Macaca mulatta: one gene and its partners. The protein of the gene in region 3 interacts with the protein of the main gene of each other region in a pairwise test. Links are inferred from orthologs where the notes say so. Each region holds a gene or a part of one and is shown on either strand. Other genes may lie near its edges.

Evidence for each region.
Region 1: the proteins of LDOC1 (region 3) and ZBTB16 interact in binary tests that used the Homo sapiens proteins (3 or more experiments, as listed by UniProt). The two-hybrid records come from large-scale screens. The link is inferred for Macaca mulatta from reciprocal best matches to the Homo sapiens genes LDOC1 and ZBTB16.
Region 2: the proteins of LDOC1 (region 3) and MFAP1 interact in binary tests that used the Homo sapiens proteins (3 or more experiments, as listed by UniProt). The two-hybrid records come from large-scale screens. The link is inferred for Macaca mulatta from reciprocal best matches to the Homo sapiens genes LDOC1 and MFAP1.
Region 4: the proteins of LDOC1 (region 3) and PSMA1 interact in binary tests that used the Homo sapiens proteins (3 or more experiments, as listed by UniProt). The two-hybrid records come from large-scale screens. The link is inferred for Macaca mulatta from reciprocal best matches to the Homo sapiens genes LDOC1 and PSMA1.
Region 5: the proteins of LDOC1 (region 3) and TNNT1 interact in binary tests that used the Homo sapiens proteins (3 or more experiments, as listed by UniProt). The two-hybrid records come from large-scale screens. The link is inferred for Macaca mulatta from reciprocal best matches to the Homo sapiens genes LDOC1 and TNNT1.
Region 6: the proteins of LDOC1 (region 3) and SDCBP interact in binary tests that used the Homo sapiens proteins (3 or more experiments, as listed by UniProt). The two-hybrid records come from large-scale screens. The link is inferred for Macaca mulatta from reciprocal best matches to the Homo sapiens genes LDOC1 and SDCBP.
Region 7: the proteins of LDOC1 (region 3) and PEG10 interact in binary tests that used the Homo sapiens proteins (3 or more experiments, as listed by UniProt). The two-hybrid records come from large-scale screens. The link is inferred for Macaca mulatta from reciprocal best matches to the Homo sapiens genes LDOC1 and PEG10.

The regions. Positions count from the first base shown.
Region 1 is NC_133419.1:114,997,010-115,000,509, reverse strand, and holds the end of ZBTB16 (zinc finger and BTB domain-containing protein 16), read right to left. Parts: intron 3,288-3,500; coding exon 3,120-3,287; intron 473-3,119; coding exon 243-472; 3' UTR 174-242; downstream 1-173. UniProt on the Homo sapiens protein: Acts as a transcriptional repressor. Transcriptional repression may be mediated through recruitment of histone deacetylases to target promoters. May play a role in myeloid maturation and in the development and/or maintenance of other differentiated tissues.
Region 2 is NC_133412.1:21,198,518-21,202,017, reverse strand, and holds part of MFAP1 (microfibrillar-associated protein 1), read left to right. Parts: intron 1-1,577; coding exon 1,578-1,797; intron 1,798-3,500. UniProt on the Homo sapiens protein: Involved in pre-mRNA splicing as a component of the spliceosome.
Region 3 is NC_133426.1:147,689,452-147,692,694, reverse strand, and holds LDOC1 (protein LDOC1), read right to left. Parts: upstream 1,851-3,243; 5' UTR 1,757-1,850; coding exon 1,316-1,756; 3' UTR 501-1,315; downstream 1-500. UniProt on the Homo sapiens protein: May have an important role in the development and/or progression of some cancers.
Region 4 is NC_133419.1:50,928,364-50,932,490, reverse strand, and holds the start of PSMA1 (proteasome subunit alpha type-1), read right to left. Parts: upstream 2,801-4,127; 5' UTR 2,753-2,800; coding exon 2,750-2,752; exon of another isoform or gene 2,363-2,749; intron 1,412-2,362; coding exon 1,367-1,411; intron 358-1,366; coding exon 256-357; intron 130-255; coding exon 26-129; intron 1-25. UniProt on the Homo sapiens protein: Component of the 20S core proteasome complex involved in the proteolytic degradation of most intracellular proteins. This complex plays numerous essential roles within the cell by associating with different regulatory particles.
Region 5 is NC_133424.1:67,462,197-67,466,310, forward strand, and holds the start of TNNT1 (troponin T, slow skeletal muscle), read right to left. Parts: upstream 2,801-4,114; 5' UTR 1,598-2,800; coding exon 1,514-1,597; intron 1-1,513. UniProt on the Homo sapiens protein: Troponin T is the tropomyosin-binding subunit of troponin, the thin filament regulatory complex which confers calcium-sensitivity to striated muscle actomyosin ATPase activity.
Region 6 is NC_133413.1:69,261,866-69,265,365, reverse strand, and holds the end of SDCBP (syntenin-1), read right to left. Parts: intron 2,975-3,500; coding exon 2,883-2,974; intron 1,497-2,882; coding exon 1,442-1,496; 3' UTR 460-1,441; downstream 1-459. UniProt on the Homo sapiens protein: Multifunctional adapter protein involved in diverse array of functions including trafficking of transmembrane proteins, neuro and immunomodulation, exosome biogenesis, and tumorigenesis.
Region 7 is NC_133408.1:124,716,020-124,720,286, reverse strand, and holds PEG10 (retrotransposon-derived protein PEG10), read left to right. Parts: upstream 1-1,467; 5' UTR 1,468-1,588; coding exon 1,589-2,668; coding exon of another isoform or gene 2,669-3,816; 3' UTR 3,817-4,247; downstream 4,248-4,267.

The DNA of each region.
Region 1 (3,500 bases), on a different chromosome or scaffold from region 3:
AGAAAATCAGGCAAACCTCCAGCCGGGAGAGGAGGGTGGAGGCCCCCAGAGGAGGGGCAGTGGCTTGGCATCCAGGTCATCTGGAGCCCAGAGAGAATCCAAGGCCAAAAAGCTATCAGGTTTCCTTTTCCTTCTCTTTTTTTTTTTTCTTTTCCTTTTTTATTTTTCATAGTCCTTCCTTCATCTCGATCCAACTCTTCTTTCCTGGCTCCCCGCTCGGCTCCACCGCCGCGGGCCTCCCTTCACACGTAGCACAGGTAGAGGTACGTCTTCTCTATCCTCCAGTCGGGCGGGATCTCCTCGGGCTTGTGGCCCTTCATGTGCTTCTGCATGGAGGAGAGGCTGGGGCAGTACTCTGTGCAGATGGTGCACTGGTAGGGCGAGGCGCCGTTGTGCGTTCTCAGGTGCTTGATCATGGCCGAGTAGTCCCGGGAGCGCTGGTGGCACAGCTTACACTCAAAGGGCTTCTCACCTGAGGGCAGAGGGACAGGGCAGGAGAAAGTGAGGACAGAGGGCGGTGAGGGCACCATGTCACCCTCAGGTGTGCCAGGGAAGCTGGGTTCCTCCTGCTGGGCTTGTTCCAACAGAACTTTCTGGGACAATGAAGGCACCACCCAAGACGGCAGCCACCAGTCACACATGGCTATGAACGAGGCTGGTGCGACTGGAGCTCTACAGTTTTCTGATTTTATTTCATTGTAACTAATTTAAATAGCTACATGTAGCTAGTTGACTACTGGATTGCCCAGTTCCTTGTCTTACTATTCTTAACTCTCCTAAGGCCACAGTCTTTTCCCTTTCTAATTAAGAAAATGAGTGTCTAGAAAGAGAAAGGCCCCACGGTCCTCAGGAATGGCTCTTCGAGCCGCAGTTCCATCCAGGGAGCAGGTGGATCGAGACCTTTCAGGGCTACAGATGGTGGGGAGCAGGGGTGGGGGAAAACTGAGGGAACCCAGTCCTTCAAATATGCCGCACCTGGGAACCTCTATCCAGCTAAAGCCTTTTTTTTTTTGAGATGGTGTCTCACTGTGTTGCCCAGGCTGGAATGCAGTGGTACGATCTCAGCTCACTGCAACCTCTGCCTCCTGGGTTCAAGTGATTCTCCTGCCTCAGCCTCCCAAGTAGCTGGGATCACAGGTGCTGCCACCATGCCTGGCTAATTTTTGTATTTTTAGTAGAGACAGGGTTTCACCATGTTGGCTAGGCTGGGCTTGAACTCCTGACTTCAAGTGATCTGCCTGCCTCGGCCTCCCAAAGTCCTGGGATTATAGGCATGAGCCACCGCACCCGGCCTATCCTGCTAAAACTGCTAAGACTTTGCCCTGGACCCTGCCTCCCTCCTGAGGCTAGAATTGGGGGTGGGGTGGGATGGGAAGGATAAAGAACCTGGGAGTACACAGCCACACCCTAGCCTTCTATACCCCAACTTTCCTTCCATAGAGTCCCCTAGAGCTGAGCAGAGGATGTGAGGGAACCTTGTTTCAATACAGTAATTAACTGGCCAGCCATCTCGCTATCAATACTCCTCCGTGCACAGGCCCCAGCAAATAATGAAGTAATGAACAGCCAAAGTGATCTAACCATCGACCAGCTATTTACAATAGTCACTGCCAATACAGTTAATGATCCACCTGCCAGGTCACATCCCCGACAAGGGGCTAAGGAAACCCCAGGGCTCTGGGAAATCCTCTGGGTCACTATAGGTGTCAGCAATGGACACCCAACCCTGTCCTTGGGGGCTCAAACTGGGGCACGAAAACTGAGCTCTGACAACACGTAGCTCTGCTTACTGCTCCTTCTGTCCACCCTTCCCCTCCAAAGGCAATGTACTCTCCTCTAAGCCAGCAGGACCTGCCTGAAGCCACCTCTCCCCCTTCCTCTGGACAGGACAGCTGTCCCCCCCGATCAGAGGGGTTTCTTTGTTTTCCATGTGCCACCACCTCTTACCCTTCTGTAAATCAGCCTTCCCCACAACCAGCAATGTGCTGGTGGTAAATGTTTAACAACTGGCTTTCTAAAAAGCCCTGGTTTGTAGCATCTGCTGATTGCTATGATGTGAATACTCCTACCAGGGCCAATTTTAAGCAACTAAGGTGATGTCGCTGAACTTGAAGTTGTGAAGAAATGTGAAAAATTAGCTTTCACAAGCAAGCTCCAATACTCCACTGCCCCCAACCTCGGACACTGTGGAAGACCCTTCACTTCTTTTGTCTTCTGACCTCAGGAAAAGCAGTGGCCCACATTTCTTTTTCCAATACAAACAATAATGTGGCCGGGCATGGTGGCTCATGCCTGTAATCCCAGCACTTTGGAGGCCGAGACGGGTGAATCACTTGAGGTCAGGAGTTCGAGACCAGATTGACCAACATGGCAAACCCGTCTCTGCTAAAAAAAAAATACAAAATTAGCCGGGCATGGTGGCACACGCCTGTAATCCCAGGTAATCGGGAGGCTGAGGCAGGAGAACTGCTTGAACCCAGGAGGCAGAGATTGCAGTGAGCTGAGATCATGCCACTGCACTCCAGCCTGGGCAACAAGAGCGAAACTCTGTCTAAAAAAAAAAAATGTGAAGGCACTCTGAAATGGTAAAACATCATATGCATATAGGGATTATTAAATATATCTGCTCTTCTAATCTCAGAACCAAACACAATCTAACTTTACAATTTCCCAACTTCCATCATAACCTGATTCAATGCATCCTAATTCTTACTGTAACCCTTGAGTAACATGAAATTCGCTTCATGTTAACTGGACCTAACCTTCGCTTCCAGCTAACTGGACCAACTTACCCCTAATTTAGGACTCATATACAGACATCATTTTGCATGTCACCTCTGAACTATTGGTATAACTGCCTGGAGAGCTGGTGGGGGCTCATTGGAAAGTGTGCTGGGATTGATTAGTAATGTCTGCCTTGGCCTTGACTGGTGGCCCTCAGGCCACCTTGACTGGGGTGTGGTGGCCCTCAGGTCATCATACCAGCCCTTAATAGAACCTCTTCTACTCTTTGATTCAGCCTGGGATCATCCTCACTTAGGCTTCTCCAGGAGACCATCTGCTTCCCACCTCCACCCAGGTCCCAGAGCCAGCTCAGACCCCTCCCTGGCCTTCAGTACCTGTGTGCACCCTATAGTGCGTCTCCAGCTGATGCTTGAGGCTGAACTTCTTGCCACAGCCATTGCACTCATAGGGTTTCTCACCCGTGTGGATGCGTTTGTGGCTCTTGAGTGTGCTCTCATCCCGGAAGCAGCTGCCACAGAACTCACACTCGTAGGGGTGGTCGCCTGTGGAGACAAGCGGCTGGATCAGGCATTTGCCTCTCCCTGCCCCCTCCTCAGGGTACAGTAGGGCACATTCAGTGCATGAGAAGGATGAGACGGCCTGTATTCACCACCTCCAAAGACAACTTAGGGATCCACGGCCACACCTCCATTGAATAAACAAGCAATACCTGTGTTCACACATGTCCACACTTTACTGTGGGCCCATGATCATCT
Region 2 (3,500 bases), on a different chromosome or scaffold from region 3:
GTTTCGCCATGTTGGCCTGGCTGGTCTCGAACTCGTAGCCTCAACTGATCTGCCCATCTTGGCTTTCCAAAGTGCTGGGATTACAAGCATGAGCCACTGTGCCCAGCTATATATATTTTTGTGTTTGACACAGGTTCTCACTGTATCACTCAGGCTGAAGTGAGTGCCTTGCTGTGGTCACGGCTCGCCACAGCCTTAACCTCCTGGACTCTAGTGATTCTCCCACCTCAGCCTCCCATGTAGCTTGGGACCACAGGCATACACCACCATGCCCAGCTAATTTTTTTATTTTTAGTAAAGACAAGGTCTAACTTTGTTGCCCAGGCTGGTCTCGAACTCCTGGGTTTAAGCAGTCCTCCTGCCTCAACCTTCCAAAATGCTGGGATTACAGGCATGAGCCACCGCACCTGGCCCCCTCATTAATTTTCTAAGGTTAAACTATTCTTGTAGTCTTGAGCTAAATTCTAATAAGTTGTGTTGGCTTAGGGGTTTTTTGTTTCGGGTTTTTTTTTTTTGGTAGTTTTTATATCGCTGGGATAAATTTGCTCTTATTTAATATTTTTGTATTTGTGTTTGTAAGTGAAATCCACCTAAAGTTTTCCTTTGAACTGTCCAATTTGGTTATCAAGGTTATACTCATAAAATAAGTTGGTTAGTTTTCACTGTCTCTCTTTGTTCACTAGAATTGTTTATATTTGTAGGCTGGGTGCTATGACTCACGCCTGTAATCCCAGCACTTTGGGAGGCCGAGGTGGGCGGATCTTGAGGTCAGGAGATGGAAACCATCCTGGCTAACACGATGAAACTCCATCTCTACTAAAAATACAAATAATTAGCTGGGCATGGTGTAGCGCATGCCTTTAGTCCGAGCTACTCAGGAGGCTGAGGCAGGAGAATTACTTGAACCCAGGAGGCGGAGGTTGCAGTGAGCCGAGATCATACCACTGCACTCCAGCCTAGGCGACAGAGTGAGACTCCGTCTCAAAAAAAAAAAAAAAAAAGAATTGTATTTATAACAGATTACCTACTCTTGCAGGTTTGATAACACATAAGGTAAAGGAAAAGAAGGTAGAAATAAGTAAGATTAGAATATTGAGTCATGTGGTAATATGTTATAAAGGCTGCCGTGGAAATCCCAGAGGGAACTACAAGAATGCCTGAGCAGCATTTTAGTTTTATGTTCCTGCAGAAATCATCCTTACTATGTGGTGGGCACTGTTACAAATAATTTGTTTAAGGGTATAGTTGAGGTGGGATGCCATGAATTTGTGATGGATGCAGTCTGCCTTTTTGCGGGGGACTTTTTTCTACTGTTTCACTGCCTGCCTTCCTCCACTTCATTGTACTCAAGGTAAGCCTCATTATCATCAGTGTTGGCTTTCACAAGGAGGCAGTCTCGTGACTTGGCCTTTGTAGGAAAACACTATTAGATGAATAGATGGTTGGGTAGTGGCTCTTTTCTTCTCCTGCTTAGACTCTTGTCTACTATGAATAAAGGGTTCTATTTGCAAAGGCCATAATGGGATGAAGCACATTGAGAAACAGGCTACTGAAACATAGTTATTTTTCTCACCCAGGTGAGATTTCAATGGAAAAAGTGAAGGTAAAGCGTTATGTGTCCGGAAAGAGGCCAGACTATGCCCCTATGGAGTCCTCAGATGAGGAAGATGAAGAATTTCAGTTCATTAAGAAAGCCAAAGAACAAGAAGCAGAGCCTGAGGAACAGGAGGAGGATTCATCTAGTGACCCCCGGCTACGGCGTTTACAGAACCGTATTAGTGAAGATGTGGAAGAGAGGTAATGTCTGTGATTGTGTTTTACTTGAACATGAACCTCTACAGCTTAATAATAATAGCTAATACTTGAATAGTACTGCCAAGTAGCTGACATTTGCTAATTGTTGTAATCCATACAATAGCTTTATGAAATAGGTGCTATTATCCCCATTTCACAAAAGAGGAAACTAAGAGCACAAAGGGGCTAAGAAAGTTACATGACCAAAGTTACAAAGTGGCAGCTTCAGAAAACAGCAGGTTACTTCTGGCCTAAAGGACCTACTCAACTCCTTACGGGAATAGAAAACACAGACCATTCGTTGGCTGTTGAGGGGAGTCTTTTTAGCACAAAGATGTTTTATAAACTTTGGTAAATTGATTTTATACATCTGCTTATTCTAAATGCTAATAAGGGGAAATGACACTGAAGCAGGAGAAAAGACCTCATAAAGGTCTCATTGTAGAAAGTCTCCCAGTGAGGGATTTTGTATGTTATATACTGATTGAGACATTACCTTAATAGAGCAGACCAGGGGTCCTGAACTTTCACCGTTCATAATTGTCCCAGGGGTTTTTTCACAGAGCTCCTGGGCCAAAACAGTTCTGTTTATTTTAGTTAGTAAGTAGTTAGAGCCAAGTAACTTAATAAGTATTTATGTCCTAATAACTTTGCCACTTGAAAATTACAGTGCCCATGGCCGGGCGCAGTGGCTCACACCTGTAATCGTAGCACTTTGGGAGGCCGAGGCAGGTGGATCACGAGGTCAGGAGTTCAAGACCAGCCTGGCCAACTTGGTGAAACCCCATCTCAACTAAAAATACAAAAAAATTAGCCAGGCATGGCAGTGGGCACCTGTAATCCCAGCTACTTTGGGAGACTGAGGCAGAGAATTGCTTGAACTTGGCAGGCGGAGGTTGCAGTGAGCCGAGATCATGCCACTGCACTCCAGCCTGAGTGACAGAGTGAGACTCCGTCTCAAAAAAGAAAAAAGAAAAAATAAATAAAATTACAGTGCCCATGGGGAAAAAAACACTTTTATTCATTCTCACATAACCACAGTTACTAGTGGAATTTGTGTGCCTATTGGACACTGACAGCCTTGCAGACCTTGGAATCAGCACTGTCACTTTTTCATGTCTTGTTTTATATTGATATTCACACTGTACTTTTTACCACAGCAGCCACCAAAACCCAATTTCACGAAGATACGATATTCTCAAAAGGAATGTAATATGACTTAATGTTGAAACTGAATTACCTTGAGCTATTGAAAATATCCCAATGCAGGCCACGCTCGGTGGCTCACGCCTGTAATCCCAGCACTTTGGGAGGCCAAGGCAGGCGATCACCTGAGGTCAGGAGTTCAAGACTAGCCTGGCCAACATGACGAAACCCCCTCTCTAGTAAAAATACAAAAATTAGCCGGGTGTGGTGGTGCACGCCTGTAATCCCAGCTACTCAAGAGGCTGAGGCAGGGAGAATCGCTTGAACCTGGGAGGGGGAGGTTGTGGTGAGCCGAGATCACGCCATTGCTCTCCAGCCTGGGTAACAGAGTGAGATTCTGTCTCAAAAAAAAATCCCAATGCATCCCTATGAGTTTGCTGGCTTGCTGTGGTGCCTTAGGATGCCTCAACATACGTTTAGTATTTCAGGCCAAACTTGGCTATTTGCTCTGATATCCTAGTCTAGTTCCTTTAATCTGCACCTCAGTTTCCCCCACCTCA
Region 3 (3,243 bases):
CCTGTAAGTGACATGTTGGCTATTTGGAGTTTGAAAGTGACAATGTACTATGTTGGCTCTCTGGAGCCTGAACTCAACAGCTGCATATAGGCAATAAGGATTAAGGGGCAGAACTTCCCTGGCACAATATTAAGGAATCCAAAAGCTCAGAGAATTAGGAGCAATACATATATATGTCCTGGTTTATGCCTGTTGTTACGGTCTAATTATTAATACTGCCCTCTTTGCCATCTGCTCAGCCAACCCTTACCCATGCCACCCTGGAGGACCCAGAGAACACACCCTTTGCCAGGGCTTTAAGAAATGCGTTGGTGAAGGAAGCATCAGAACCCTGACAAAGCCCTGAGGTAGCTGTCCCCAGCAGCCTGGAGTTGACAGCAGGGATTCCTAGGATTGGTTGTATTCCCTGATTTCCATGGGAATAACGGTAGTCACAGTGACAGTTCTAGAGGTCAGTGATAGCACTTAACTATTAAAAGACAATCATTTCGTTTTTTAGTGCTTGATATTTATTGAAAATAATGCCAATGCTTTTTCCAGGTAGTATTGAGGAGCTGGGCTGAGTGCTTGTTTGTTTTGTTTTTAGTACTATTTGTCCAAATGCATACATCTGTGGGACTGCTGCAATTTTGAAAGAAAAATGACAGCTGTGTAAAACCAGTGCATAGGAAAAAAGAAATATCAACAATTTGGCTGTCAGGCACACCGCGCCCCTGCAGCAATCTGGTATGGCAGGGGAGGACACTCGGAGTAGGTAGAAAACTAACCAGGCTGAATGACTGGCCTCTTCAGGGGTTGGTGAGCTGTCCAAATCAATGTCCGAAGAGGCAGAGCCAACTCTGGCATTTTCCAGGTTGGTCCTGATCTCGAAAGGCGGTAGTCTGTAGGTGGGATGTGGTGAGTGGATGTGAAGTGGCAGCATAGTTCTCTGGGCAGATGTAAGCCTGGCAGCAGGGCAGGTGGCAGCAGCAGGGCTATGGGTGGTCTGCGCAGTTTGTAACAGGGGCCTGGCCAATAGCTGGGGTTCAGGACACAGTTCAGATTAGCAGGGGAGGGATCCCCGGGATGGCCAGGGTAGATGACACTTCCAAGCACTTCCGAGTGAGTGAGGCTCCAGCCCCAACCCCAGCAGCAGGTAACTGGAGCACTATTCCTGGAACAAAGACAAGCACTACGGAGAAATGAAGAAAGAGCAGACGGGCGCGGGTAGGGAAGGGGACCGGAGGGCAAGGGGGAGAGCACTGGCTCCTGGCGGGGTGAGGGCTGCGGGGAGGGGGTGACGGCGTGCAGGGCCCTCCCCCCGAGGCCCGAGGGCCTAGTAATTATCCTCTTCGTCCTCGTCGTCGTCGTCTTCGTCGTCATCCCAGCCAAAGCACTGTTTCATCTCATCGAGGAAGGCTCGGTAATCACCTAGGATGGGGCTATCCATCTCGATGTAGGGCACCACCCACTCCTCGGCTTCCCCGGTGAGGAGACTGATTAGGAATGCCACCTTCATGGCGTCGTTGCAGAATCGGTTCTCGTTCACGAGCATGTAAGACGCTGTCTGCACGATAAACTCAGGGAGCCGGGAGCTCTCGCCATTAAACGTTTCGGGGAAGGGCACCGGGCAGCTCGGCGGACGTACCTGGCGCAGCAGGCTGGCCCTCTCGCACACCAGCAGCCGCAGCTGTTCCATGAGCTGGCTGTTCTCGATGGTCAGGGCGCGGTGCCGCATCAGGAGCGCGTGCAGCAGCAGCACCAGCTCATCCACCATTGCGAACAGCCTGGAAGGACAGGGCTCGGCTCGGTTCGGCTCGGCCAAGGTGCGCACGGAGGCCTCGCAGGAAGTGCGTGTCCACGGAGACGCTCGATGGCCAGGGGCTGGGGGCGGGGGGCGGTGCGCGCCGGGGTCCGGGAGGCTACGCAAGCTCCGCCCACGAGGCCATTCGGACGGATGGTGCGCCGGCGCGGCGCGGGAGGGGCGTGGCCAGACTGGCGGCCGCGGCTGCGTGGGGGCGTGGCCGGGATGGGAAGGGTTTAGACAAAGAGGGCGTGGCCAGGAAAAGGATGCATTGGGTCGCTGAACCACCGGCTTGTGGTAGGTCTCTAGGCGGGCAGTTAAAGGCTGGGGTAGGCTCCCCTAGCTCCTGGTTGTGGGGCCTGCGTTAGCAGAGGACCTGGCGAGCGCTGAGTTTGGTCTCAGAGAAGGCAAATTTGTTCAAACTGAAAGGATTAGCCACCCTTCTACCTAGGCAACTCTCACAACTCAGTTGTTCCTTCGTGGGTCTGTGGCCACTAGATTCTCTTGGCGTGATGTTTTATTAACACATTTTCTTTCTTGTTTAAATCTCACTCAGAGAAGTATTGACACTGCTGGCTGCACTGTGGGACTCACACTTCCTTTTAGGATCATGAAGACCTTCAGGGGTTCCTGCCTTTCATGAAAAAGGCAGTATTTAAACAGTGACTTCTTTAGTAGGGGAATAATATGGCATACTCCCTTAAAACAAACAAACAAAAAAAAACAAACCTAAGTAGCAGGATATAAAGAAGTTTTGCAAAATCAGCATCCAATAATCAATTGCAGGCATCCCACATATCTTTGATTCTCTATTTCTTGTCCTGCTATTAGTGCCTTTGGCCACTGGGTTTTATTCTGTACTTAAAAATGAACTGTTAAGATGTTTGTGTTTTTAAATAATTTTGTTTTTCTACTTTAAACGGATCCCTAGAGCCGACAGGAATTGTTGGCTCTGCTTTCAAATATATTGCCAATTCAGTCATGACTTGTCATTTCTACCACTGCCACCCTGATCCCCAGCCTTTCTCACCCAGACTGCTGCAACTAATCACTTAGCTTTCACTCTTTTCTTCCTATAGTATATTCTCCATAGAGTAGCCACAGGAATCGGGCGCGGTGGCTCACTCCTGTAATCCTAGCACTTTGGGTGGCCAAGGAGGGCGGATCACGAGTCAGGAGATCGAGATCATCCTGGCTAACAGGGTGAAACCCTGTCTCTACTAAAAATACAAAATATTAGCGGGGCGTGGTGGCAGGTGCCTGTAGTTCCAGCTACTCAGGAGGCTAAGGCAGGAGAATCGCTTGAACCCGGGAGGCGGAGGTGGCAGTGAGCCGAGATAGCGCCAGCGCACTCCTCCAGCCTTGGTTACCAAGCGAGACTCCATCTCTAAAAAAAAAAACAAAAACAAACAAACAAACAAACAAAAAACAGTTAGATCCCTTCACGCCCCTGCTCAAAA
Region 4 (4,127 bases), on a different chromosome or scaffold from region 3:
GTTTATTTTTCATGATTATACTTACCATAACAGTCTAGCATCAGCAGTAAGCCCCGCAATTGAGATACCAATATGGTTGTCAACATGGAGAATTTTTTTCTGATGAGCTGCAAGCTCTGATTGTGCCCTCTAAATGGAGACATTATAAGATGTTAAAAAAAAAAATGTAAAAATAAGTTTACAACCTTACTGTCTATGGTGAAATTTACATTAATAGTTTTTTACAGAGGAAGACATATTTATTACTTTACTTACTTTCAATGCAACCAACACTGCATGAGTTTTTGATTTCAGACCAACTGTGGCTGAACCTTGTTTAACAGCTTCCATTGCATATTCAATTTGATGAATCCTGCCCTAAAGAAAAAAAAAAACAAAACCACATCTTAGAAGGCCTTTTATAACTTAAAAATTAGAGTTTTCAAATGTCAGGTGGGCATAGTTAAATCTCAACTGATTTTTTTTTTAAATCAAGAAACTTTTTTTTTGAGACAGGTTTTCACTCTGTCACCCAGGCTGGAGTGCAGTGGCACAATCTTCAGCTCAGTACAACCTCTGCCTCCTGGGCTCAGGCAATCCTCTCAAATCACCGTCCCCAGTAGCTGGGACTATAGGCAGGCACCACCACGCCCAGCTTATTTTTGTATTTCTTGTGGAGACCAGGTTTCATGTTGTTCAGGGTGGTCTTGAACTCCAAGACTCAAGCAATCTACCTTCCTCGGCCTCCCAAAGTGCTGGGATTACAGGCATAAGCCACTGCGCCTAGCCAAAAGCTTCTTTTAAAATAAATTTTGTTGTATATACTTAAGGTATGCAACATGATGTTGTAAGATACACATATATAGTAGGGTCACTATCGCAGAATGAACACATCCATTGTCTCACATACTTACCCATTTTCCTCTGCTGTGGCAAGAGCTATCAACTACTCACTTAGCAAAAATCCTGAATACAAAACACTACCTGCATTATTAGCTGTAGTCTTCATGTTGTACCTTAGATCCTTCCACTTGCTCAACCTACATATTTGATACTTTGTATCTCCTCTTTTTTCCTCCCCACTGCTATTCCCTACCCTGGTAACCACTGTTTTATTCTCTCTCTCTATATATTTGCTCTTTTAAACAAAACATTCCACATATAAGTGAGAGCATGAAATATTTTTCTTTCTGTTTCTGGCTTATTTCACTTAACATAATGTCCTCTAGGTCCATTAGGAGACCTATTTTAATTATAAATGCAACTTCCAAGAACGACTAAAATATTATATTCCATTTTCCCCAAGCCTATGCTCTCACAAGCTTCTAAATATATTGCAGCCACAAAAAGCCATTTCACAGAAATAGTTTAAAAAACATTATTTTACCTGCGGGCTCCAAACAGTGACATCATTGTCGTACTGATTTCGAAACTAAAAGTAAAAGAAAAAAAGACCTGTTAATAGAAGAACATTTCAAATCCCAACTCTAACATTCATTAAGAAATATGCTTGTGTTTCCATTCAATGTTAAGGCACTCTGTTCATGCAATCTTACTGGAAGATTACTACTGTACTCAGACGTAAGCCAATTCTACATTTACCATAAACTGGTGGGAGAGGGAGAAGCAGATCTAAATGGGTCCTATTTTTCCAACCTCTTATTCTAAAACCCTTCATAGCAATCCCTTTAGGCTCAATTACTAAAGTTCACAATCAACTTTCTTGCCTATTTTTGCTTATGCTGCTCCCTTTTATTGGGACCTAATAAATGGTTAAAAGCCTTTCTCTTCTTTAAGTTAGCTTAAATGTCGATTTCTGGAAGTCTTCTCCTTTTCTTCCCAAATCCCCCTAACACATACTCCCACAGTTCTTTATCTAAACGTCCCTTTCTGTTTTTATGATTAGCTTTTCTTCCCAAATCCCCCTAACACATACTCCCACAGTTCTTTATCTAAACGTCCCTTTCTGCTTTTATGATTAGGGACATGTATGACTTTTGAACGTTCACTGTAGTTATGCTTGTACAAATGCTCTGTCTGTATATTCATATTGAATGAACAAAAATGTCCTCAGAAAGTTAGAGGTGGACACAAACAGCTGCAGCGATAGAACCATTACGGCTATTATGACTATTATAATAAGTCTAGCAGTGCTGGGGAGACTAATCACGGGAGTGAGATTGAGTGCGAGCACAGCACTGGAAACCCAGAACCCTATGTTGTAACCCAGATTCCATCACTTCCCTTCTCAGCCTCGGCTTACTCATCTGTAAATAGGTGACTGGACAAAATTATTGAAAAGGGCCTCTTCTAACCGAAGTCTAGGGGAGAGATAAATCAGACGGACCCACCAGGAAAACGGACGCGGTCCAGGAACACAAACCTGGGGGTCAAGTCCGCACTGGTGGTACAGGTAGGCCTCCAAGTCTCTGTCTTCTCCTCTCCCATACACAGCACTAGGGGCTATTCTGGACCGCTCAGAATCTACTCCACTGAAGGAACCTGAGGGGCGAACTCATCTAGCTGACAGAGGAGGAAGTGTCGGAGGCTCCCCGGGAAGCGAAAGCGGTGGAAAGGCCGCACTGGCTACCGACAGCCCCTAACCCGGCCAGGCCGGAGATGCTGAATCACTGCCGGAGCCCGGCCGTCTGCCGAGGCTCCCATACCTCGTGGCCCCGGGCGGCGCTAAGGATGACAGGAGAGGTGGCTCGTCATCCCCGAGTCACCGGAGCTCTGCCCTAAACCTTCCAGAGGTCGGGATTCAACGTACCATGTTGGCGGCGCGGGCCTGGTTGCGGCCTCCAGCAAAACTGAGAATCAAGGAGGTGCTGCCGAAAGTATCGCTCAGCGATCTACAGAGAAGTCTGCGGGAGTCTGATGGCGGCGGCGCAGGGTAGCGCAGTCTATTCCAGAGATATCGATAGGCTTGCAACACTTCCCCTTCCTTAAAACTCTCCGACCGCTCGGCGGCGGGCGGAGCCTGGGAAGATCTAGTAACTGAGATTGGCGGGAAACCCAGGGCTGGGAGTGCCGGCGGCTGAGAGCTGCGGGGGACCCCCTGTCACGTAGCCCTTCTTGGTTCCTGTGTATTGCGGATTCCCTCCAGTTTCTCCCGGTGGCGGGCTGCATCTAAAGTCTTACGAGGCAACAGCCGTGACTCCGGGTGATACTAGCTCTCATTCACCGTCCACAGATTTTGGGGTGTTACGTGACTGAAAGAAACGAGGCTGCAGGAAAGCCCCAAGATAACGATCCGTTTCTGTGTGTCAGCCGTATTCTTCCTCGAGTATCTTGTTTGTGTACATGCTTTTATTTGTATTAAGGTTGGTGCAAAAGTAACCGCGGTTTTTGCCATTTGGCAAGATACCTTGGAATGCTCTTCCTTATTCCCTGGAGATGTTATCTTTCAAGGCTCTGTTGTCTTTAACCCCTCATTATTATTATGATTGGTTTCCTCCACCAGACTTTGAACTCCATGAGGGCGCTGTCTTTCTGTGTCCTCAAAACCAAGCATGATACCTGATTAGGCCACTGAGAAAAAATGGACACGTTCTTTCGACTTACCTATTTTGTCTTTTGAGAGCATCTTTCCGTAATGAAATAGTCTGACATCTTTGCAAACAGCTGCCAATCTAACATCCACCGGCTATTTACATTCTTTGTAAAAAAAGAGACTGGGTGCGGTAGCCTGTAATCCCAGCACTATCGGAGGCCGAGGGCGGAGGATCGCTTGAGCCCAGGAGTTCGAGATCACTATATTATTTTAATACAGTGGGACCTCGTCGCTACAATAATAATAATAATACTAAAATAAAAAAGGCTGGGCATGTTGGCATGCGCCTGTGGTCCCAGTTACTCGGGAAGCTGAAGTGGGAGGATCTCTTAAGCCCGGGAGATCGAGGTTGTAGTGAGCCGTGGTCGCGCCATTGCACTCCAGCCTGCCTGGGCGACAGAGATTCTGTTTCAAAAAAAAAAAAAAAAAAAAAAGGCCGGGCGCGGTGGCTCACGCCTGTAATCCCAACACTTTGGAGGGCAGAGGCGGGTGGATCACGAGGTCAGGAGATCGGACCATCCTGGCCAACACGGTTAAACCCCGTCTCTACCAAAAATACAAAAATTAGCCGGGCGTGGTGGCGTGCGCCTGTAGT
Region 5 (4,114 bases), on a different chromosome or scaffold from region 3:
GGGGGCTGGACTCCTGGGTCAGAGAGGAGAAGCTGGGGGCCTGGACTCCTGGGTCTGGACTCCTGGGTCTGAGGGAGGAGAAGCTGGGGGCCTGGACTCCTGGGTCTGGACTCCTGGATCTGAGGGAGGAGGAGCTGGGGGCCTGGATTCCTGGGTCTGGACTCCGGGGTTTGAGGGAGGAGGAGCTGGGGGCCTGGACTCCTGGGTCTGGACTCCTGGGTCTGAGGGAGGAGGAGCTGGGGGCCTGGACTCCTGGGTCTGGACTCCTGGGTCTGGACTCATGGGTCTGAGGCAGGAGGAGCTGAGGCCTGGACACCTGGGTCTGAGGGAGGAGGGGATGGAGGCTTGGACTCCTGGATCTGAGGAAGGAGGGGCCAGGGGCCTGGACTCCTGGTTCTGAGGGAGGAGGGCTGGGGGCTGGACTCTTGGGTCAGAGAGGAGGAGCTGCAGCCTGGACTCCTGGGTCTGGACTCCTGGGTCTGAGGGAGGAGGAGCTGGGGGCCTGGATTCCTGGGTCTGGACTCCGGGGTCTGAGGGAGGAGGAGCTGGGGGCCTGGATTCCTGAGTCTGGACTCCCGGGTCTGAGGGAGGAGGAGCTGGGGCCTGGACTCCTGGGTCTGGACTTCTGGGTCTGGACTTGTGGGTCTGAGGCAGGAGGAGCTGGGGCCTGGACACCTGGGTCTGAGGGAGGAGGGGATGGAGGCTTGGACTCCTGGTTCTGAGGGAGGAGGGGCCAGGGGCTGGACACCTGGGCCTGAAGGAGGAAGGGCTGGGGGTCTGGACTCCTGAGTCTGAGGGAGGAGAGGCCAGGGGCTGGACTCCTGGGTCTGAGGGAGCAGGGGCTGGGGTCTGGAATCCTGGGTCTGAGGGAGGAGGAGCTGGGGCCTGGATTCCTGGATCTAAGGGAGGAGGGACTGGGAGTCTGGACTCCTGGGTCTGAGGGAGGAGGGACTGGGAGTCTGGACTCCTGGGTCTGAGGGAGGAGGGACTGGGAGTCTGGACTCCTGGGTCTGAGGGAGGAGGGGCTGGGAGTCTGGACTCCTGGGTCTGAGGGAGGAGGGGCTGGGGGCCTGGACTCCTGGGTCTGAGGGAGGAGGGGCTGGGAGTCTGGACTCCTGGGTCTGAGGGAGCAGGGGCTGGGGTCTGGAATCCTGGGTCTGAGGGAGGAGGAGCTGGGGCCTGGATTCCTGGATCTAAGGGAGGAGAGACTGGGAGTCTGGACTCCTGGGTCTGAGGGAGGAGGGACTGGGAGTCTGGACTCCTGGGTCTGAGGTAGGAGGGACTGGGAGTCTGGACTCCTGGGTCTGAGGGAGGAGGGGCTGGGGGCCTGGACTCCTGGGTCTGAGGGAGGAGGGACTGGGAGTCTGGACTCCTGGGTCTGAGGGAGGAGGGGCTGGGGGTCTCGACTCCTGGGTCTGAGGGAGGAGGGGCTGGGAGTCTGCACTCCTGAGTCTGAGGGAGGAGGGGCTGGGGGTCTGGACTCCTGGGTCTGAGGGAGGAGGGGGCTGGGGACCTGGACTCCTGCGTCTGAGGGAGGAGGGCTCAGGTCTGGACTCCTGGGTCCGAGGGAGGGGGCTGGCTGTCCTAAAGCACGCATGAGGACAGACCTTGGTAGGTGTGGTCCTGGCACAGCCAGGAGGCTGCAGACCCTGCCCCCTCCTCACAGCTGTCCTCTTTTGTCTTATGACAAGTCCATGGGAACCTGATCCAGCTGGGATTAGGAGGAGGCATTTGAGAAGGGACAGTGGCCTGAAGACAATAGCTGCCCCACCCCCAGGAGCTATTTCGGGGGGATGTCATAGATGGTGAGACAGAGGACATTTCCTAAGAAGGGATTTGAGGAAGGGGGGCTTCTGGGAGAATTAGTCACCCTCATCCCCTCTCCCACTCACCCCTCCCCGCTGGCTGGCTTCCTCCCCACCTGTCTCCCCTTTCACCTTCCCATACATCATGCAGGGGGCAGGAGCATAAAGGGCACCTTCTGTCCACAGACCTCACCCGGACCCCTATATTCTTGGACCTCAAAGTCTTTGAGATTCCCTAGGCCACAGGGTGCCTAGCCCCAAATCCCAATACCCACAGATTCTGAGACCCCAATCTGTGATGCCCATGTTTCTGAGACCAGCGAGTCCTCACAGCTGTTCTTGATAGTCCAGATATGGGCCGGGACATCTTAAGACCACTCCCAGGTCTTGGGACCTAAATTCTGAAACCTCAAGAATATGAGACCCCCAAAATCTTGATACCTAACCTCGGAGGCCCAATTCATGATACCCAGATAATGACAGTCCAAGTTCTCGTGCTTTCTATCATAATACCTCAGATTCCGAGGCCTCCACTCCTAAAACCCCAGATTGTGAGACCCACCCCCAATTCCTGATACCCTCAGAGTCTGAGTCCCCAAATCCTGACACCCAGACTGTTTGACCTCCAAGTCCAGATATCCCTGACTGCTGAGATTTCCCCCAGATTCCCAGAACCCCAAGATCCTAGGAGGTTTTGTTCTGGGACACCCAAGTCCTGGCAACCCCGGGTTCGGATCTGTGTGACCCACAAATCCCAGTATTTTCCCCTCTATCCTGAGTCCCCCTGAAGTCTGAGCCTCTCAAGTTCCCAGACTTCCAGTTGTCTGCCCCACCTACCTCTGCACCATTTCTCCATACCCCACATCTTCCCCACCCACCTCCTGCCCCCTCCCGCAAGGACACAGTCTTTGGAGACCACAGGGCCCCGCAGAGCCCCTTACCTAGGCTGTGTCTGAGATGCTGGGAAGCTCGTGGCTGAGCCTTGCTGAGGGCACTGAAGCTACCGGGAGTTTATAGCTGGCCCTGGGAGGCTTGGCCCCGCCCCGAAGGGAGAGGGAGGGGGAGAGAATTCCATTGCTCAAACACAAGTCTGGGAGCTCAGAGACAGCCCCGCTGCCCCTGGCTCCACACTCAGAGTCCAAAAGCCTCCGCAGGCCCCTCCCCAACCCCATGCTAACCCCATCTGCACGGCCCAGGAGCCCCGCTCCCACCCCCACCCCACCCCCAGGTCTCATGGTGCTGCAGCTACCTCCCTTATAGCTCCCTGTGCTTTGACGTCCCCACGCCCGGCCCACAGTAGGTCCTTGGAGGACCTACTAATGACAAATGGGCTATAAGGAATGTTTTCTGTTTTCTTCTCTCCGTTCCCTCTTTCTACCGTGGTCTCTTTCTGGACCCCCGTTTCTGTTGTGTCTGTGGCTCTCCATCTGTGTATCTCTGTGTGTCTGTCTCCACTTCTTCGTCTCCCCCTCTGTCTCTGTCCATCTTTTTGTCTCCCCCTCCCCACCCCCACCCTTTTGTCTGCCACCAGGATTCCATCCTGGTGACAACAGGCACTAAAGCCGGGAAGCAGGTGTGGGGAGGGGGAGGGAGAGGGGGTGTCAATTAGGGTGAAACCTCCCCTCCCTCCCCACCTCCATCTAACACTGATCTTTTTGGTGTCCCCCTCGCGCTTCCTAGCCAAGCCATGACCTTGAGTTCTGGGTTCAAGCCGGCCCTGGAGAGCAGGCCTCCTCCCCTCCCCGCCTCGCCTCTCAGTACCTCTCAGTACCTCTGCCTCTCGTGGTCCGTCTCTGTGTTTCCTGGGGCCTCTCGCTGGGGTCTGTCTTGGGCTCTCTCTGCATCTGTCTCTTTCTGGGTCCCTCAGTGTGTTTCTTGGCATGTGTCTCTAGGTGGTTTTGTCTCTGCATTTCTGTGGCTGTCTCTGCATGTCTGCCCCTCTCAGCGTTTGTGTCCGTGGAGGCTCACAGTTTCTCTGTGCATTTCTGTCCACCTGTGACCCCATTTCTGTCTCTTTTTGGCTCTGGGTCTCTGTGTCCATGTTCATGTCTCTGTCTTTCTAGTTCTCTCCATGTCTTAGTGCCCGCAGTTCCCGCTCTGTGGCTCTCCATTTCCCTCTCTTATAGGGTCTCCACGTCTCCGCACCTTGCTGTGATTATACCTCTGCCTCTCTTTTCTCCTTTCTTTGCACTTCCTTCTATGCATCCATGGTATTTTCTCCCTCTCTCTTTGGGTCTTTGTCTGGCTCCTTCTCTCTCTACTCCCAACTCAGTCCCTCTGTTGCCAGTATGTCTCTCTGCCTATCTGTT
Region 6 (3,500 bases), on a different chromosome or scaffold from region 3:
AGTCAGACCATACTAATAGAATTTTCAAAGTCAGTTTCAAGTGTTATTAAGTATTATCTGGTCTCAGGTATTGCTAGGGACAGTCAGTAGCCTCAATGAGTTCCTGCTGCATGGCAGGGGTGAACCAGCTCTCTTGGCCCTGGTAATCTGGGGTTCCCAGCTGGAAGCAATTTTCCTGACACTCAGTCTCAGCACTGTGAGCTGTTCTTAGGGCCCCTGAATGTCAGCTTGTTCTGGGAAATGATGTCTCCCATAGCTGAAAGTGAATTTCACCTGCCTATCTTCTAGATCATGCATAAGTTTGGTGAAAGCAAATGATGCAGTAACAGACAGACTAAAATGTAACTTTATGTATACATATTTAATTAGAATAGCCATAAACCAAAAAGAAGAAAAAACTCAGGATAAAATGTCACTATCATTTTGTTTGCAAGGAGTCAGGAAATGGAACAAGTTACCAGAAAAATATTCTAAGACCATCCCAAAGTAGCTAGGTTACATAATCTTAAGAGTCAAATGCCAAAATTAAGTATTATACCACTTAATCCACAAATGAACAAAAGAGGAGTCAAAAGTTTATCCTGTTTAGTGTAATAACTTTTACATTAAATATATAGTGATTCACTTCTCACAAAGTGGTGCTGGCAACTTTTAGAAGAAAGAAGTTTCCATTATGCATTGACTAAAAAATCTCAAAAACAACTAAGCAGCTATGCTATAGCTCAGTAAGTACCATTAAACTGTTCTGGGCTAGTGTACATTTCAGGTTAATAGAGATCTACATTTTGGGTTTTAGAAAGGCAGCAATAATTATATTTTGGCTTTTAGTCTAGATGCTTAACATAGTTAAGGCGACAGTTTAAGCATATTAAATGAAGGTAGTTAAAATTTAAGAATCATCACAATCTCTTGCAACCTACATACACTGTTTAATGCTTACATGGAATGAAACCAGTGTTCTTAATTGGCATTTTATACACACACAGAATTTTTTTAAAAAATCAAAGGCAATCATTCTAAATGTACTATGGTAGCATGTTAAAAATGCAAATATGCTATAGAACTAAAGTAATATGAACAGCACTACTCATTACCTAGGAGAAAGGTGACTGGTTTTCACACAAAGCTAAGCCTGTATCAGTCATCCTAATCACAATGGCTTATAAAAGCATCAGGTTTCCAGTAGAGAAACTGTTCTAGGAAAGTCAGTAAATCTCTTGAAAGTTTCACATCTGTAAAACCAGGATAAGGCTACAACTATTTTGAAATCTGAACAAGGTATCAGATGAAAATAGTAAGATTCCCAGCCATAATGTAAGATAGAAAAGTCCTCATGCAGCATATGCTTGCTGGCTCCGGGAAAGCTTCATGTGCATAATACAGAAGTTGCCAAAGAAGGAAACTGGAGACGTTCAGCTGCATTTCCATGGTGCCGTGAATTTTAAACCTCAGGAATGGTGTGGTCCATTAGGCTTTTCATGATGCTTGGTGCCATCCTACAAAAGAGGTGCTTTTATTATATACTGAGATTCTGTCCCCCCCCCCCGAAAATGCTATGTTAATCCAAGAAAATTCCCAATTCCAATTTAGCACCTGTTAGCATCAAATGTGAATGGAGAGAAGGGAAAGATCTTTTAAATGAGTCCAGAAGCATCTCTGGTAATCTAGTTGTTGACAGACCCTCAGTGGGAAAGGCTATCTGTATTTGGCTAGAGAAGTTAGGATACAAATGAATTCTTGTACATTAAACCTGGTGATTTTTTTTTTTTTTTTTTTTTGAGGCGGAGTCTGGCTCTCTTGCCCAGGCTGGAGTGCAGTGGCTGGATCTCAGCTCACTGCAAGCTCCGCCTCCTGGGTTCACGCCATTCTCCTGCCTCAGCCTCCCGAGTAGCTGGGACTACAGGCGCCCGCCACCTCGCTCAGCTAGTTTTTTGTATTTTTTAGTAGAGACGGGGTTTCACTGTGTTAGCCATGATGGTCTCGATCTCCTGACCCTCGTGATCCACCCGTCTCGGCCTCCCAAAGTGCTGGGATTACAGGCTTGAGCCACCACGCCCGGCCAAACCTGGTGAATTTTAAAAAACAGAAAATGACACGGCTGTGATGAGTTGGGGTAGAGGGATCCATCAGTGATTTAAAAAAAGAGAACCTTAGAACAATTAGTCATGACAATAACTCCTTTTTACCCCCTCGAAGCGTAGGGAGGTGCATTCTATCCAGAAGCCAACATACAAATTTCATTACAATGGTTATGTTTATGAATCTTTTAAATCTCATTTTCACATGCATGATAGAGGTTCTGAAAGAAGGATTCCAAGCTGGCTTGACAAAAACAGCTATGGTAGATGCTAGGATACGAAAAGCTGTATAGAAGTAACCTTGTTGCCTCTTTTCATTTCTGATCACTTGGCTTTCTAATCCTCAGTTCCTGAGCACAGATAGCACCAACACACCACACATGTCTATCTGCTTCCTGAGATTCTGGAGAGAAGGGAAACTTACTCCTAGCATTCCACCAGCAAGAATTCTCCATTACGAACCACTACAACTATATTTATACTGAGCAGAGGAGTGGCAGGCAGTACAACTGCAGTCAATTGTACTGCAAATTGAAAGCTAAAAGCATGCCCACTTTTCCTTGCATTCTTCTACTAGGCAATATCAAAACTGAGGAAAGTATATGTGGATTTTATTCCATACTTGGGAAGTTGTAAGAGCTCATCCTTACCAACCCCGCTGACTTAAATAACTTACTTCAAATTTCTAGATAAACACCAGTATTCATTCCTTAGGTAAAAGACCCAAAGGGCTGAGAATTAAACTATAGTGCTTACATTAAGTCACACGACCATATGCATTAAGTTGAGGAATTGTTTACTTACCGCTTAATAATATGTTCAAAGATAAAAGCAGGCATGATTGTAATAGTAACTACAGTCCCAGATGTTGATAGTATGTCTGCAATTTGAGAGTCCTGATAAAAACACATATTAAAAATCAATTCCACAGAGGCTTTATTTAATAAATACAAAATTATGCCAGTCTTGGTAAAGAAATACAAAATATATGTCCTGTTATGTTTTGTTAAGATCTCTAAAATCCTGCTTGGTATTTCTAATTTTTTTCTAGTATTTCTTTTTTTTTTTTTTTTTTGAGACGGAGTCTCGCTCTGTCGCCCAGGCTGGAGTGCAGTGGCGCGATCTCGGCTCACTGCAAGCTCCGCCTCCCGGATTCACGCCATTCTCCTGCCTCAGCCTCCCGAGTAGCTGGGACTACAGGCGCCCACAACCGCGCCCGGCTAATTTTTTGTATTTTTAGTAGAGACGGGGTTTCACCGTGGTCTCGATCTCCTGACCTTGTGATCCGCCCGCCTCGGCCTCCCAAAGTGCTGGGATTACAGGCGTGAGCCACTGCGCCCGGCATTTTTTTCTAGTATTTCTTACCAAGTTTAATTGTACACTATTTTACAGCTAGTAACCAGTTTGCTTAAGTAAACTGAG
Region 7 (4,267 bases), on a different chromosome or scaffold from region 3:
TATAAACTTTTTAAACTTTCTTTAAAAGTTTTAAACTTTTTAAATTAAAGTTTTTTAAACTTTTTTAAACTTTTACATATTATGTTTTAAACTTTTTATGTATTTAAATTTTCCGAATATGGGACTTGAGATTATTAATAAAATTTAAAATAATTAAATCATTCTAAATGTATTTAACTGTATTTTCAGGAAGTACACAGGCAGACACTGTGTCAGGATTTTTTATGTGTGTGATTTATTGTCATTGCACTCATAATTAGAATGCTTAAACACACACCCTACCCCCACCTCCCCACACACATCCACTCACCCGCAGGAATGCAGCCCTGTCCCACCTTAACATTACAAACCTGCATTTGGGGCTATGCTGACAAATCTTGGTTAAAAACTATGGATTGCAAACTGGTGACCTGCAAGACAAATAAGGCCTTGGATTTGACCAACACAGTGTTTTTAAAAAAGTAAACATCTTTAGGTGGGAAATGCATGCCCATGTTGCTATAGTTGCAGCCCCTCCCTCTTTTAATCCCACTCTCTTCACACAGATAATCACCTTTCTATTTTCTAATTAATAACTTTGTTAATATCAGCTAACCATTATTGAATACTCACTACATAATTTACCTGCACTATTTAATTAAGTCCTCACAATTAGTTTGAGGTATACTATTATTGGGCTTCTTTGAATGCCCCATTTTATAGCTTTTCCTAGGAGGCATCAATTAGTATTTCTTGAATGACTGCATAAATGACAAGGGAAACTGACATACACATATTGCTGCTTAGTGCCATTTCTGTCCCACAGAGAATTTTCTTTGGGGATTTAAATTATGGTCAGAAAAGTAATTTAGGCAGTCCTGTAGTTTTTGTGGTGGTGGTTGTTTGATTTGATAACCAGTGACCTTCTCTGTGGCAGTGAAACAGGGTTGTGACAGTTGGCCACAGTACCCTCCTCCCGCCCACAGGGCTGATGAATACATGCATTGTGATTTTAATACTCCCCTCTTTTTTAATTAGCTTCTATTAGTTGTAGTATTAACTATTTTTGGCCTAGCTTCTTTAGTAACAAAAGTTATTATTTTGGCTTTAATTTGCATAATTGATTTGGTATCTATGTTTGCCTTGAAGTTTCTTCCTCTGTTTCAATACAAAACTACTTGTTTAGAGGGTTTCAACATTCTTTTATAGTTTATAAAGGTAAGCATGCTGTTGATGATGTATTGTTGAATCATAATGAACAGGTGGCCTTTGAGGAAGACAAGGTCATTTGAACATCAAAAAGTAGTTTCCTTTTTGTTATCTATGGTGCTGATTGATACTTTTCTCTTGAAAGTTTGTTTTCTTTGTTCGCTAATTATTAAAGTAAGTGCATGGAGCAAGGGATAATTTAAATACTAAATCCTTTGTGTCTGCATTTTGCTGCTTTGAATCTATAAGTTGGATTTATACATTTATCTTTATTTACAGAAATAAGCGGATTTTGAAAACAAAAAAAAGAAGGAGTGGAAGAGGGGGCCAGGATCCAGGCCTCCATCCCCACAGAAGTGAAGCTACAGCTGGGAGGTCTCCTCCCACCCCAACCGTCACCCTGGGTCCCGACTGCCCACCTCCTCCCCCTCCCCCTCCCCCCAACAACAACAACAACAACAACTCCAAGCACACCGGCCATAAGAGCGCGTGTGTCCCCAACATGACCGAACGAAGAAGGGATGAGCTCTCTGAAGAGATCAACAACCTAAGAGAGAAGGTCATTAAGCAGTCCGAGGAGAACAGCAACCTGCAGAACCAGGTGCAGAAGCTCACAGAGGAGAACACCACCCTTCGAGAGCAAGTGGAACCCACCCCTGAGGATGATGATGATGACATCGAGCTCCGCGGTGCTGCAGCAGCTGCTGCCCCACCCCCTCCAATAGAGGAAGAGTGCCCAGAAGACCTTCCAGAGAAGTTCGATGGCAACCCAGACATGCTGGCTCCTTTCATGGCCCAGTGCCAGATCTTCATGGAAAAGAGCACCAGAGATTTCTCAGTTGATCGTGTCCGTGTCTGTTTCGTGACAAGCATGATGACCGGCCGTGCTGCCCGCTGGGCCTCAGCAAAGCTGGAGCGCTCCCACTACCTGATGCACAACTACCCAGCTTTCATGATGGAAATGAAGCATGTCTTTGAAGACCCTCAGAGGCGAGAGGCTGCCAAACGCAAGATCAGACGCCTGCGCCAAGGCATGGGGTCTGTCATCGACTATTCCAATGCTTTCCAGATGATTGCCCAGGACCTGGATTGGAACGAGCCTGCGCTGATTGACCAGTACCACGAGGGCCTCAGCGACCACATTCAGGAGGAGCTCTCCCACCTCGAGGTCGCCAAGTCGCTGTCTGCTCTGATTGGGCAGTGCATTCACATTGAGAGAAGGCTGGCCAGGGCTGCTGCAGCTCGCAAGCCACGCTCACCACCCCGGGCGCTGGTGTTGCCTCACGTTGCAAGCCACCACCAGGTAGATCCAACCGAGCCGGTGGGAGGTGCCCGCATGCGCCTGACCCAGGAGGAAAAAGAAAGACGCAGAAAGCTGAACCTGTGCCTCTACTGTGGAACAGGAGGTCACTACGCTGACAACTGTCCTGCCAAGGCCTCGAAGTCTTCGCCGGCGGGAAACTCCCCGGCCCCGCTGTAGAGGGACCTTCAGCGACCGGGCCAGAAATAATAAGGTCCCCACAAGATGACGCCTCATCTCCACACTTGCAAGTGATGCTCCAGATTCATCTTCCGGGCAGACACACCCTGTTCGTCCGAGCCATGATCGATTCTGGTGCTTCTGGCAACTTCATTGATCACGAATACGTTGCTCAAAATGGAATTCCTCTAAGAATCAAGGACTGGCCAATACTTGTGGAAGCAATTGATGGGCGCCCCATAGCATCGGGCCCAGTTGTCCACGAAACTCACGACCTGATAGTTGACCTGGGAGATCACCGTGAAGTGCTGTCATTTGATGTGACTCAGTCTCCATTCTTCCCTGTCGTCCTAGGGGTTCGCTGGCTGAGCACACATGATCCCAACATCACATGGAGCACTCGATCTATTGTCTTTGATTCTGAATACTGCCGCTACCACTGCCGGATGTATTCTCCAATACCACCATCGCTCCCACCACCAGCACAACAACCGCCACTCTATTATCCAGTAGATGGATACAGAGTTTACCAACCAGTGAGATATTACTATGTCCAGAATGTGTACACTCCAGTAGATGAGCACGTCTACCCAGATCACCGCCTGGTTGACCCTCACATAGAAATGATACCTGGAGCACACAGTATTCCCAGCGGACATGTGTACTCACTGTCTGAACCTGAAATGGCAGCTCTTCGAGATTTTGTGGCAAGAAATGTGAAAGATGGGCTGATTACTCCAACGATCGCACCTAATGGAGCCCAAGTTCTCCAGGTGAAGAGGGGGTGGAAACTGCAAGTTTCTTACGATTGCCGAGCTCCAAACAATTTTACTATCCAGAATCAGTATCCTCGCCTATCTATTCCAAATTTAGAAGACCAAGCGCACCTGGCAACGTACACTGAATTCGTACCTCAAATACCTGGATACCAAACGTACCCCACGTATGCCGCATACCCGACCTACCCAGTAGGATTCGCCTGGTACCCAGTGGGAAGAGACGGACAAGGAAGATCACTATATGTACCTGTTATGATCACTTGGAATCCACACTGGTACCGCCAGCCTCCGGTACCACAGTACCCGCCGCCACAGCCGCCGCCTCCACCACCGCCGCCGCCGCCGCCTCCATCTTACAGTACCCTGTAAATACTTGTCGTGTCCTTCAGGATCTCTGCCCTCAAAATTTATTCCTGTTCAGCTTCTCAATCAGTGACTGTGTGCTAAGTTTTAGGCTACTGTATCTTCAGGCCACCTGAGGCACATCCTCTCTGAAACGGCTGTAGAAGGTCAGGGCCACCCTGGACTGGCACACATCCTAAAGCACCAAAAGACCTTCAACATTTTCTGAGAGCAACAGAGTATTTGCCAATAAATTAGCTCTCATTTTTCCACCTTGACTGCCAATCTAACTAAAATAATTAGTAAGTTTACTTTCCAGCCAGTCCTGGAAGTCTGGGTTTTACCTGCCAAAACCTCTGTCACCATCTAAATTATAGGCTGCCAAATTTGTTCTTTAACATTTACAGAGAAGCTGATACAAATGCAGGAAATGCTGATTTCTTTATGGAGGGGGAGACAAAGAGGAGGAGGAGGACAT